Linked DNA regions of Arabidopsis thaliana. The protein of the gene in region 2 interacts with the protein of the main gene of each other region in a pairwise test. Each region holds a gene or a part of one and is shown on either strand. Other genes may lie near its edges.

What was found.
Region 1: the proteins of MPPalpha (region 2) and TIM23-2 interact in a two-hybrid assay, tested with the Arabidopsis thaliana proteins (one study listed by BioGRID).

The regions. Positions count from the first base shown.
Region 1 is NC_003070.9:27,381,209-27,384,964, forward strand, and holds TIM23-2 (translocase inner membrane subunit 23-2), read left to right. Parts: upstream 1-2,156; 5' UTR 2,157-2,347; coding exon of another isoform or gene 2,348-2,368; coding exon 2,369-2,935; 3' UTR 2,936-3,316; downstream 3,317-3,756. Other genes in the region: AT1G72740 (Homeodomain-like/winged-helix DNA-binding family protein), read right to left, coding at 1-40, 498-582, 726-940, 1,330-1,479; AT1G72755 (uncharacterized protein), read right to left, coding at 2,348-2,375, 2,573-2,610. UniProt on the Arabidopsis thaliana protein: Essential component of the TIM17:23 complex, a complex that mediates the translocation of transit peptide-containing proteins across the mitochondrial inner membrane. Links the inner and outer membranes.
Region 2 is NC_003074.8:5,598,187-5,601,942, forward strand, and holds the start of MPPalpha (mitochondrial processing peptidase alpha subunit), read left to right. Parts: upstream 1-1,523; 5' UTR 1,524-1,719; coding exon 1,720-1,758; intron 1,759-2,047; coding exon 2,048-2,281; intron 2,282-2,363; coding exon 2,364-2,660; intron 2,661-2,746; coding exon 2,747-2,914; intron 2,915-3,025; coding exon 3,026-3,193; intron 3,194-3,282; coding exon 3,283-3,360; intron 3,361-3,433; coding exon 3,434-3,500; intron 3,501-3,621; coding exon 3,622-3,719; intron 3,720-3,756.

The DNA of each region.
Region 1 (3,756 bases), on a different chromosome or scaffold from region 2:
TAAGGATTCTTCTAAAATTTGGCGGTACTTCATGCCTGGGCTGCTCTTTCCACAGTAAACCATTGTTAGCACTCAGTCGTAAGGTCCAATACAAAAGCTATTATATAGCCAAATGTGATAAAAGAATAACAGAAAGTGACCAAATTTAAGTAAAATCAAGAGTTCTAACATTTTTTCAGATATGCATAGTGGACAGCTTCACGACAAGTATTATCATACTATAAAACGTCAAAGTACAAATAATTAGTAGTATAAGACTTTACATTTAGAACTCGGTGTTCTCATTTGAGAAGGACGAATCATCTAAGATTGCTGATAGTAGTAATAAGCCATTTGCACAAGTCAATGTAAGATAGAGTTTACACGTGCCAATAACATAACTATCCCTCCCACATATATAGATGATGTCTCTAATAATCTGTTAAGTAGTTTACAAAGCGAGCACATATAATTTTCTGATCTGTGCATAATAAATAGCAGAGAGAAATTTGTCAAACCTCAATGAAATGATAAATGGAACTGACATCAGATCCATTACCATCGGCTAAAGCAGAGAGAGCTTCAAATATCACCCCGTCATACCTGAAAATAGGGACATATCAGAAGTTTAGCAATACATGATGAAGATTATTACTCAGAGTTGATAGACTAGCATTTATGGAACTAGTCTCTCATCATACTTTCTGGCCTCAAGTATGAGAAATAGAGAACAAAGAAAGACAAACCTAGGAGCATTCTTTGTATTTTCATCAGGGATCAACTCAGAAGGTAAAGTACGCCGACCGGGAGGAGGTGGAATAGTAGGAATAGGCCGTGGAATAGTGACAGCATCATTTGCATCTGCAGCCGGAGTGTCGCCTTCCTCTTTGACTTTTGCTGGCCGTGCCTTATTAGTTAAACTTTGAGTACCAGGGGGAACACTCAAGTTACGCCACTTATCCTATTAAGTATTGAAACACACAAAATTTTCAAACTCTTCTTCATAAGACTACCACCAAGTAAAAGAAATCCATAGCAAAATGAAGGACAGTACTACTCTTTCCACCTCAAATCTCCAACTCAACCAAGCTAGCTTTAGGTATTGCACACTTGAATCAATAAAAAAAAAAACTTATAATCTATCCAAGGAATCTCTAATCCTATAACCAATGATAAGAGGCAACACTAATAAAACCTATTGCCAAAAGTTTTGATTTTTTATGGATCTTAAACTAAGCAGATACGACAGAGTACATAATGCACTCCGGGTTGGTCTCAAATTCGATGTCTAGGTTTAATATATGGTTCAACGAGAGTGATTTTAAAGAGGTGAGTGAAGAAAAGAGAAACCTTTAGGTCAATGTTGGAGCGATGGATGAGCTGATCAGCGAATTCTGGATCCCGGAGAATATTCTTCCACTTTCCAGGACCGTGCTTTCTGATTCCGGCGAGTAACGCCTCCTCTTCCTCCGCCGTCCACTTTAGTTTCTGGTTTCCCATCTAACCCTTGCGTGATTTACCTCGTGCTCTCTCTCTCTCTCCAAGACAATCGGCGTGTAAACGGAGTTAGACGCAGTCTCTTCGCCGTAGCTTTCGCCGGAGGTTTCGTTTATTTTTGGCTCTGCGCAGTTGTGTGACTGCGGGAGGAGGTTTCCAGTTTGCAAAACTTTTTCGATTATTTACTTCCGAATTTATGCTTTTTATTTTGTCTTCTATTTACGCTCTCGAAATTAAATCGAATTTTTTTTTTTGGCCTTTTGACTTAAATTAAAAACAAATAAGCTTTGTATTTGAATCCTTAATTATTTTATTTGAAGTTTAGTTCTCTAAATAAAAACTGATGACAAAAAAAATTCATAAAATTAGGTTCGTTCGTCGTAAAAATATTTCTGACATTATAAGAGAAACACCTGAAAATTCGAGGATGTTTGGTTGTCACGATGGATTGCAATTTTGCAAAGTAATTAAGTATGACTTTGAAAAGTCCAATGTTGAAGAGGTTAATTTTGTAAAAATTAAACTTATGGGGTCACATTCGAAATATCAGCAAATACAGTGTGTGGTGGTAAGAGAAAACCAACTTGGGTTTAAATAGAGAAAATAAAATAAATGGGGTTAAGTTCGAAATAAACGTAAACGCGAGTATTAAGCGAATCTGGTACTGCGCGTATCTGGAAACAACTGGACTGAGTCTTTCCCTAAAAACCCTAAACATAGATTTTTAGTTTAGTTTGGTTTCATTTCTCATTTCGGCAACCAAACCAAACATTCAGAGAGACACAACACAACCACATCATCACACGTTTCTCTCTCTCTCTTTCCTCTCCGTCGTCTCTCTCTCTCTAGCCACCACCAAAATCCTTAAAACCTAGACTTTTCTCTTCCATCGATGGCGGCTAATAACAGATCCGATCATGGGTCAGACGAAAACACAAGACTTTACAATCCTTACCAAAACTACGAAGTCCCAATCAACAAATCTCAGTACCTTTACAAGCTTCCTACCTCCCCTGAGTTTCTCTTCACGGAGGAGGCTTTAAGGCAACGTAGATCTTGGGGTGAGAATCTCACTTTCTACACCGGAACAGCTTACCTCGGTGGCTCCGTTGCCGGAGCTTCTGTTGGAGTCATCACTGGAGTCAAAAGCTTCGAATCTGGCGACACTACTAAGCTCAAAATCAACAGGATCTTGAACTCTTCTGGTCAAACTGGTCGAACTTGGGGTAATCGGATTGGTATCATTGGATTGGTTTACGCAGGGATCGAGAGTGGTATTGTGGCTGCCACGGATAGAGATGATGTTTGGACCAGTGTGGTGGCTGGTCTTGGAACCGGAGCTGTTTGTAGAGCGGCGAGAGGAGTGAGATCTGCAGCTGTAGCTGGTGCTCTTGGTGGACTTGCGGCTGGAGCTGTTGTAGCTGGGAAGCAAATTGTGAAGCGGTATGTGCCCATTTGAAGACTGCAAGAGTCTAATTGGCAGACTCTTTTTCGGGTCGTTGTTGAAATTTTTGATAGGGGAAATGGTGAGAATTTGATAGGTTTGGTATGTCTTGGAATCATAAAAATGAAAACTTTATTTGGTTTCTAGAGGTACAACAAGTCTGTATGTCAAGTCATAATGCAGTTTCACTTTGAAGAATAACCTGCAAACCTTTTTCTTATATTCATACTGATTAAATGTTTTGCCGATTGGTAATTTAATTTGTCATGAGTGTGTTTGTTCTAGTTAGTGTTTTATGTTTCTGTTTTTGATCAATGTTAACTCTTTCTTGATTCGTTGAGAAACTGATGTGTTGTATTACATTTGAAAATGAAGCTCTTCTCTCAAGTTTTTTCTTATCATTTTGTTAATTGGGATGGTGTAGTGTGTTCACATAATTGTATACCTCTGTTTATCTCATTGAGTACTAACCTGATATTTGATGGTGTTATTTTGTTACCTATTATATCCCCCTGGTTCTATTTCTCTGGACTGTTCTCTGCTCTTAGCTATTAATTTTGTCTCCAAGATTTCACAAGCTTATGATGATGGATCAGTCACTTTTGGTTTTGTGGTTTTTGGTTCTCAAGTCTCAGGCATATTGTGTAGCAAACCTTCTCTAAACTCTTACCGTCTCTAGACCTTATCAGCTGCTCTAAATGAAGAACAAATAGTGTCCTCTAATCTTTTTATTAAAGCCTTAAACTTTCAGTTTTGCAGCTTGCTTAGAATTTTTGTTTTGTTTCAGAAGATCATGTACCTGCAAAATGACATTTCGTCTGATTTCTTCATTCGAA
Region 2 (3,756 bases):
CAACCAACTCGTGCTTCACGAGGGATGGAAGCTTTGATTAGTTAGGACTTAGGAACTTGTATTAATCTAAATATCTTTTTTTTTTTAAAATTGAATCTACCTTACAACATAAAATTTGTAAAGAGAATTCCAAAATTCCAAAAAAAATCACCTAAAATTTTAAAATCGTGAAAGCAGCATCGTAAAGATGTTCTCTTCTGTTTTTTTTTTTTTTTTTTAACTCTCTTTTGAATATTGGATTAGAGATTTTCACAGTGTCGTAGATTCTTCGTAGAGTCTGTTATGAGTTGACATTTACCATAGGAATTGCATTATCGTGAGAAGGTTAAATGATAAATTGACATTTATAAATTCTCAAAATGTAGGTTATGAGTTGTCAAAGAAATGTAGGCTATGAAAAAAAAAACTTACGTCTAAAAAAATGCAAAGTTAAGAAAGAAATACTCAAAGTTCGTGGCATTTGACCATCTCTCAGCTACACCTCAAATTATAGCTCATGAGAATGGCCCATGAATATGATTGTGGCTCCGTTAATCACGTGGTATTAAAACTCACACACGACCATTTCTCATCTGCCTCCAATTATAGCGAAACCGTTACAACTCGTTGTTCACGTGAGCATCAAAATGTGCATTACTCCTTTCAAGTTCGGCAAATCCTAATTATCCATTTTAATGGACTGCAGAGACTTTAATTAGAGCTTATAGAACTTTAAACATTTTGGTTTAAATCTTAAAATAGAAATTTAACCAATCTCAAATGATTTTTTTTTCTTTTCTTTTGGCATAAGTTTCATAACTCGATGATGAATGCTACGATAATATAGACATACAGTATGATGATTAGATGAAAACAGATAAAGAAGAAAAAGTGTATCGTACGCCCCACTCGGTGATAATGATTAATGAGACTATATATGAGAGTACCCAAATATGATTTTTTCCACTCATGAATCGTATTGCACTATTTCTGCATTATTAAGATAGACCCACATTTAACATTAGACCAAAAAAAAAAAAAGATAGACCCACACCACCTGTTATAGTATTTAGTATTTTTACACATCCACTAAACGACGACAATTGACAAAATCACACAAACCTTTCTCCTTTATTCATTTTTGTTTAATTCGGGTCCCTTGCTTTTTAGCATTCGGCTCTCATTCTTATCTTCCCATGGATGGATAGTCATAGTTATATAATACAGTTCAATTGAAGTTATGCAGTATATATATGCACCACACACGAGTCTTCTATATATGTGGATACTACGTTTCAAAATAATTCTATTAACTTAGAGAAGATAAACTTTCTTAGTACTTTTTTCGTTTCACTTTACACACACCTCAAAAAAATTCTTGTTTCATTTGTGACTGCATGTAAATGTCGTTACCTTACTTGAATTTTTACACAATGGTACGTGAAAAAGAAAAGAAAAAAAATATAATTGAGAGAAAATATAATAGGATCACACCACTACAATACATGGGCTTTAAATTCATCTTTTCTATATGTTATAATTTGGGCCAAGACTATTATATCATATGGGCCTATCAATGTAATTAGAAGCAATTGCCCGATCCAATAACCTTAATTAGGAAAAAAAATCGTTCCCTTCTCTCGTTTCTTTTCAGCTCTGACTCGGCCTCTATCTCTCTCCCGTCGTCAGCCACATTCACCGGTACTCATCTGACCAAGCTAGGGTTTCGCAGTCATCATCATGTACCGTACGGCAGCTTCTCGAGCCAAGGCCCTTAAGGTCAATGTCCTACTTCACTTGTTTCCATTGAGATTCTGGTTTTTTTAGGAGAATGCTTAGTATTGAACAATTTGTATGATTCATTGTTTTTGGATTTGGATTAAAGGGTCTCTTAGATTCTTATAGATCTTGATTCAATTTTATCGCTTTATAGTAGCTGGTGCCATTATTCATGCTTTTTGCAGGTTTATGAAATGTCTCTGTTTCGAAAGTTCTTATTTTTACAATGTTAATTGAATCAAGAGATTAATGATGCTTAGGATGTGTGTGTGTGTGTGTGTGTTTATAGGGCATTCTAAACCACAATTTTCGAGCTTCTCGTTATGCAAGTTCTAGTGCTGTTGCAACGAGCTCTTCTTCCTCCAGCTGGCTAAGTGGAGGCTACTCTAGTTCACTTCCTTCTATGAACATTCCCTTGGCTGGTGTCTCTCTTCCACCACCACTCTCTGACCATGTTGAGCCTAGCAAACTTAAGACCACTACTCTTCCAAATGGTCTGACTATAGCCACTGAGATGTCTCCGGTGAGAGCTTCTTTTAGTAATCCCAACATCAACTTCCTGTTAAAAACTACTGGAAAGTGATTTTGAGTGAAATTTTGTTCAGAATCCAGCAGCTTCCATTGGTTTATACGTTGACTGTGGTTCTATTTATGAGACTCCTCAATTCCGTGGAGCGACGCACTTGCTTGAAAGGATGGCATTCAAGAGTACATTGAACAGAAGCCATTTTCGCCTTGTAAGGGAAATAGAGGCTATTGGAGGTAATACTTCAGCTTCTGCATCCCGAGAGCAGATGGGTTACACAATTGATGCTCTCAAAACCTATGTTCCCGAAATGGTTGAAGTGCTTATTGATAGTGTGAGGAACCCTGCTTTTTTGGATTGGGAAGTGAATGAAGAGGTACTTCATGTCATGTTGCATGTATCTCACAAACATTAAAGCTAAGCAATTTTTTTACACTGTTTTCATCATTTTTCTCCTGGCAGCTCCGAAAGGTGAAAGTAGAGATAGGAGAATTCGCAACGAATCCAATGGGTTTTCTTTTGGAGGCAGTTCATTCTGCTGGTTACTCTGGCGCATTGGCAAATCCATTGTATGCACCTGAATCTGCAATTACTGGATTGACTGGGGAGGTCTTGGAGAATTTTGTTTTTGTAAGACCGTTAACACAAGAGATTATTGCATTCGCTGGAACTAGTATCACTGGCTTTTGGTTTGTTATTTCGTAGATGTGTCTTTTTTCTCATTTTGTTCTGAAATTTCAGGAGAATTACACTGCTTCACGAATGGTCCTAGCAGCTAGTGGAGTTGATCATGAAGAACTTCTAAAAGTGGTTGAGCCATTACTATCTGACCTCCCTAATGTACCCCGACCTGCGGAGCCAAAGTCTCAATATGTCGGTGGAGATTTCCGTCAACATACGGGTGGAGAGGTACAAATATGACGTTTCAATGGGCTTCTTTGAGTAAAAGAAGGTTTATTATTCCTAATATCTTTCTTTTTTTGTTTCACCATTCTCAGGCTACACATTTTGCGCTTGCTTTTGAAGTGCCAGGATGGAATAACGAGAAGGAAGCTATCATTGCAACTGTTCTTCAGGTGCCTGACTCAAATACATTACTTGATCTTTCAAACGCAAAGACTTAATTGTGTAAAATCCAATTCTTATCAGATGCTTATGGGAGGAGGTGGCTCATTTTCTGCGGGAGGCCCTGGAAAAGGAATGCACTCTTGGCTCTGTAAGTCTCTGAATGTGTTCTCTTTCTACTTGCGGTTTTTCAACACTCATGTTTTAATGTAAGTTAGTTATTTGTTGGTCATGATGATGATGAGATTGGTTTCTTTATTGTCTGGATGCAGATCTTCGCCTTTTGAACCAACATCAGCAGTTTCAATCATGCACTGCATTCACTAGCGTCTTTAACAATACCGGATTGTTTGGAATCTATGGTTGCACGGTGAGTTTGCACCGATTTCTAGTTGTTGCTTATTAAC